2 linked regions of the Xenopus tropicalis genome follow. The protein of the gene in region 2 purifies or fractionates together with the protein of the main gene of each other region. This does not show direct contact. Links are inferred from orthologs where the notes say so. Each region holds a gene or a part of one and is shown on either strand. Other genes may lie near its edges.

Region 1 (3,665 bases), on a different chromosome or scaffold from region 2:
GCTTTTCTTATTTATCTCTGGTGAGTCAGGTGGGGTAATAAATCTAATTTTTCAGCCACCTATGGAATCATAGTAGCATTATTTAACTCTCTCACTATGTAAAATCACTAAATCGTTCACAGTCTCTGACACTGAATAATGTCAGTGTTATAGCGTTTAAAGAAAGAATAATAATGGCACAGCAACAAATATTGGCATCACAAACCTTTGTGAGTCCCTCATATCGAACATACTCTGTATTTTTCAGCCACTCCATTAACTTGGCATAACGTAGCAGGTCCCGGTGAAAAGGATGGTGATTTGGTAAAGTCATTTCAGCAGAAAGAGTGGAACTTTGATCATGACCCTGAGTTGGAAAAAAATAAAAAATAAATAGCGTATACTAAATTTTTTCCTTTATGCAAAACTCCCCCCCTTGGTGATGTAGCTGCTGAAAACCAAAAAATGGCAGCATTCCCCCTTCAGGGACGCTGCTAAGGGATGCAGGGATGAGGTGCCTAGGGGAGACATTGTTAAACCTAATCCTCTTTGCAAAATGGAATTGTTGCAAAGAAGGCAACATTATGCAGAGCTTGATATCTCAAATCAGTGTTTTAGGATTAATTTTCCTGCCTGTTATGCAAATGGAATACTGTAAATGCAAAACACAAACATGAAAACCAGCAAACAACAAGAGCATGCAGCAGTATAATGCAATCATTTATTAACCAACATTTAGCCTCCTGATCTGTTCTGTAAGGCATCCTGTAAAACATACTAGGCTTTACATATTGGCTGTAAGGCAATAACTTAAACAACAAATGGAAACACCAAAGATGCTCCACTGTTAATTTTATTTTGATGTTTTACATGGTCTTTAAGGGTTAATGCAATGGGGAAATCATTAAATCTATTACCTGGCCTGCAGAAAAAAGAATCTAAGCCAGAGATTAGCATAAAGTCTCATCTGTACCTCTGTGATATGCACCAACGTTAAAGAGCTATTATTCACTGATACAATATATAAAATTTCTTCCTAGCTTACAGAATGCATTCACTCATAGGACAGAGCTAATAGAGTTTAACAAGTATTACCTTTGGCTTTAACACATAAAATCAGGGGTATGAGTCTGTCTGGGGCACAACACTTAATATTTACCTGTGATGGAACAGTCATTATTGCTAAACTGTTTTTTTTTTAGTTAAGTTACCCCTATAACTGTATATTAAAGAAAAACCCCAGTCTTTAAATAATTAAAACTCTAGTTGCTTTAGCATGTTTTCCTGATTTTACTGTGGTTTATACAATTTTTTTCTGGTCCCCTGGAAAAACTTAAATGGGGTGTCTACTGTACTAATATAAATAATTTATTTTATCAAGATGAATTTTCCCTTTAAATCAATGCAAGGTGACACAGAGGTTAGTGTAAGTGGCTCACAGTTCTGGGATATAGGGATCCATTCTGACCAATACACTAATAGCGTGGAGTTAGTATGTTTCTCCATCAGTCCAAAAATAGGTAGGATCATTGGCGATCATTAGTGGAACTGACCCAGTGTTTGTGGTAGGGAGATTAGAGTGTAGCACTGGGGCAGCGACTGATGTGACAGATTAAACAATCTGGTCAATGAGCTGCCAAATGCCATTATTGCATTAACAAAATATATATATATTTTTTATACTGAATATGATGTCTTTTTTTCTATGAAATAATTGACAGTAATGGTAGCAGAAACATTTATTTCTCATTGCGTCTTATCTATGTTTGTAACACTATTTCCACTCTTCCTTAACCCTAGACCAACAATGAACAGATTCCAATCGGTTTGGCCCTGCTGACGGAACAAGTAAGCACTTAAACACAAGCATATATATGTTGAACACAGTAACTGCATCACCTAGTTAGTACAATGTGTATGCACATACAAGCGGCAGAGCAGAAACACCAAAAACAATAAGAACAAAGTTAAGTGTTAGGGACTGCAGAATTTTAGATTGACAACTGCTAAAACAAACTCAAGATCTCATTGTCCAATTCCAGGTACTCACAGCCTTAGACATGGAGCAGAACCTGCTATATAACTGAGGGAACATCTGTGTAAACTAATGGGAAATAAAATACAGGAACAGAACTGTTTTAATAGAAATCAAAATATGACAATCAAAAGTAAATGGTATTCTAAAAAAAACTTTTATACTCGGTGCCTGGCATACTTAAAGGCAGAAGCAAAGTAAATGGCTCTGGGTGATTTAAAATAACCCTCCCCTCTTACTGGGCGAGCTGTGCACTGGCTATCATTCTCCCTCCTTGTGTGTGCAAATAATGTCCTTTTATTGTTTCTAGCAGCTGGTCAACTCCAGAATATAGGTTAGGCCAAGTGCTACCATTAAGGTGTTTCTAGCTGCTGGTCAGTGCTACAGCATGGGTTAGACCGAGCGCTGGCAATTTCCTTTTTACTTTAATGAATCTCCATTCTGTATACTTTCTGTTAAGGTATATTGGAAACAGAATTCACTGAACTTCACTGCACCTGAATAAGAGCACAACTTAAAAATACTGGGGAAGCCTACTCAAACAGAAAACCTCTATTTGGATTCTCAGAGACTTTATTATGACTCATGACTGTGGTTAACACTTCAATACTGAAGACATTTGTGTATGAAATAAAGTGTGAAAACAGATAGGAAAATACCTGCTGGACAAAGACATTATTCAAGTGGCTGGCCAGTCTCCGTGCAAACTGTTCCCGTAGGTCACTGAAAAGCTGCTGTTGCTGCTGAACAGCCTGAAGCATTTTGTGTCCTACAAAGAAAATTCAGAAGAAAAAGCTCTTTATAAAATCTATCATTTTCTTTACACAACTATTTTGTTTTATTTCCTTTTAAACTACTAACGCACGGGGTGTGCCTGATGCAATATCTAAATACGAATCTGTAGAGTACACTCCAGCCTGTCGTTCCCTAGTTTCCTATACTGAGCATGCTTGATCAGTGAATATCTGGGTGCTATAAAAATTGTAGCCCAACAAATAGGGTACCTCAGATTAACAAATGGGGCATACTTAGCAAAGGCTGAAAAGAGCAATATTCATAAACATCTCCATACATCATTTGAAAAGGGGTACAGTTATCATAGGTTGAAATGAATAAAAGGAAATTAGTGGAGTATTCTTTTTACACCCTTTGATAAATATGCACTCATATGCACTTCAATTCTGTTGATGTGCTTAAAAAGCCAAGAAGGCGGAAGATCAGTTTTGCAGTGGCTGGCTTACATGTTACATGTTAAGACTTAAAATGCAGATGATAATGGGGACCACCATGGTATACTGGAGGCAACAGCAGAACATGACATAAGTTATCATGATTTTGTTCTTTCCTACTCCTACACTGTAGCTTGTGGCTGTAATATTATATATACGGTAAGGGTGTATTTCTGACCATAGAAATACTCGTGGATGTAAAACCATAAGTGTATCTCAATGTAGCAGAAAAACACTGTTATAACCATTACAGTAAATGGTCAGAGAGCCAATAACCACAACCTTTATAGCAAGCACTGCTCTTACCAGGATGAAGAGTCACATTCATACACTGTAAGAGAGCCTCTGCTGCGTTAGTACAAGCCTCAATCCCTCGAGATGAAGAAAGATCTGCTTCTTGGAGAGCTTTAATGTGGCCTTTA
Region 2 (2,554 bases):
GTAGGAAGAGCCTCAGTCTGACCAGGGGAAAGGGAGCAGCCCCGGGAGTAGGAAGCGCCCCAGTCTGACCAGGGGAAAGAGAGCAGCCCCGGGAGTAGGAAGAGCCTCAGTCTGACCAGGGGAAAGAGAGCAGCCCCGGGAGAAGGGAATAGAGATGCATGAACCCCAAGATTCAGTGAGATTCTGAGAAATACACTTGGTGCATCATTTGGTGACAAACTTTTTACCGTAATAAAGCGAATTAGGGTTCAGATTGAGTTTGGGGTTCGGCCGTAGGGGTCTCTGTATCTGCTGCTGCCTGTAACGGCCCCATCCCAGCACATACTGAGGGGTATGAAATAATATCAGTGTTACTGTAGGTTGTGTTTGTGTAGAAGGATCATGGCTCCCCCCCCCCCCCATGGGCATTATTACCCCCTCACTGACACCAGATCTTTTTACCCCCTGTTCCAGATGCCCCGGCCTTGGCACATGTGACAGAGAAGGACCTGGACAAGTTTACCAGCCGCTCGGTCCCCGTGGCCCTAAAAGCCAAACAGAGGCACAACGTGACGCTCAGGCGCAGCCGCTGGCCCTGGTGGCGGAAACTGGGGGACGAATTTATAGAAGACGACGAGGTTCTTCTCTCTGATCTTCCTGTTCCGGAGCTCGGGGCCCTGTTCCTCGCTGGCACCAAGGACTGAGAACCTCATACCTGTAATGTTCCATGTTATTATTTTTATATATATTTATCATATACTTTCATTAATAACTCTCGGCCCTTGGTTTCCCTGCTGGAGGCACCATAGCAACAGGGGGATAATGGAGCAGGTCCTGAAAGGGGAGGGGTTATGGGGAAGTGCCCCTAAGGGGGGGGGGGGGGGGTTCACCTTAAAGTTAACTTTTAGTATGCTATAGAATGTCCTATTCTCAGCAACTTTTCAATTGGTCTTCTTTTTTTTCAATATAGTTTATTTGCCTTTTTCAGCTGGAAAAATGTAGACAAAAATGGTAAATAATTACAAAAAAACTGTAACAAATAAATAATGAAGACCAAATGCAAAGTTGCCAGGAATAGAACCTTCTATAACGTACGAAAAATGATCTTAATCTTAAAGGGGCAGTTCATCTTTAAACTCACTTACCCACCGATGGGGTTAACAGAGAAGAGGCGCAAGTCTGTTTCTAGGGTTTACTGTCCCTTTAATGTGCAATGATCCAACAATGTGTGGGAAATCTTTATTGCACCAACCGACCAATGAAATAACAGAACCAAGGCGGTTTATTTGGGAGGAGTCAGCGGCAAGCAAAGTGCACAGGCAGTGGGGCGGCGGGGGCTGTGAATATTACTATAAAGGAGCCAATCAGGGCCGATATCTACCTGCCCGTTACCAAGGATTGGCCGGTTTGTACCAGTGATATACAGCAGCCATACTGCGAGGCCCCGCCCACCCCCAAAGGCTGTGTGGGGATGCTGGGAATTGTAGGCTAACAATGGAAACCCCAGGTAACAAGTTTCTCCCCGATAGTGATGGCAAATTAAAGGGGAAGATATCTAACAGTTTAGTCGGCGGCGCTGTATATTGCACTGATACCGCCAAGTGTGGGTCGGTCACGCCGCTCGCAATGTACAAAATATAGAATCTGTGGTTTCGTTGGTTTCACACTCGGATATTACAAAAAAAAAGATAAAATGTACAAAATCAGGACGTGCGTCCGGTCTGTCGCTAACGCGTTGCCGCGTGGGTGTCGGGGAAGCGACATAATAATCCATAATTGTACCGACGTCCCACCGGCGGGGTAACGAGTCCGCTGACACTTTATCCACAAAGGCCACGTTATCGTTAGTAAATATATAAATATCCGTGGAAACCGCGTGCAAAGTGCCGCCATGATACATTCCTTGGGTTCCTCCATGGAGGAAAATATCAATAAATAAATAAAGTCTCCGAGTCCTCAATCCGCTCAATGTGATATCTTTGGTCATTTAAGGAATGGCCCCGCCCACCCTTGGGGGCGGGGTTTTGGCTGTCGGAATCCTCGGAATGGGAAATACAAATGCCTCTCGCTGGGCAGAGTCTCTCCGTGTCGGCTAACTGCTGGAGGGCCCCTGGTTCAGGAAATAGGTCATCATTTCCCCCTTGCCCTTCACTTTAACCACGCCCCTGCACTCCAGCTTGTAGTTATTGGCTGCCAGGACCTGCTGGAGATCTGCCGTCACCTGATTGGGCGAAAGGAAAAAAGAGGGAGACGTTAAGAATAGTGTCGGAAAGTTGGGGCATTTGAGCAATTAAGCTACTCTGGTTGCTAGACTCTCTAACCCTAGCAACCAGGCACAAACGAGGTGGAAGAAACAGGAAAAGGAATAAATATCAGGGCAGGGAAAAGGTATTAAGATTTGAGGTGCCCCCCTCACTTGTATTCGCTCAGGCACCCCGGTACTGTCCATCCGACTGGCCACGTTAACGGTGTTCCCCCAAATGTCGTACTGTGGCTTCCTCGCCCCAATGACGCCCGCGACTACTGGCCCGATGTTCAGCCCTGCGGAAAGAACAGAGTTCTGGGTAGTGAGCAG

The links. The genes of interacting proteins can lie anywhere in the genome.
Region 1: the proteins of iqcb1 (region 2) and exoc1 purify together in Homo sapiens (affinity purification with mass spectrometry; 3 studies listed by BioGRID and IntAct, counting the BioPlex papers as one, with this or other methods). This does not show direct contact. The link is inferred for Xenopus tropicalis from reciprocal best matches to the Homo sapiens genes IQCB1 and EXOC1.

Annotation. Positions count from the first base shown.
Region 1 is NC_030677.2:40,666,776-40,670,440, reverse strand, and holds part of exoc1 (exocyst complex component 1), read right to left. Parts: coding exon 3,550-3,665; intron 2,784-3,549; coding exon 2,674-2,783; intron 347-2,673; coding exon 206-346; intron 1-205.
Region 2 is NC_030685.2:88,565,435-88,567,988, reverse strand, and holds the end of iqcb1 (IQ calmodulin-binding motif-containing protein 1), read left to right. Parts: intron 1-453; coding exon 454-683; 3' UTR 684-1,931; downstream 1,932-2,554. Other genes in the region: adcy5 (adenylate cyclase type 5), read right to left, coding at 2,072-2,200, 2,396-2,520. UniProt on the Homo sapiens protein: Involved in ciliogenesis. The function in an early step in cilia formation depends on its association with CEP290/NPHP6.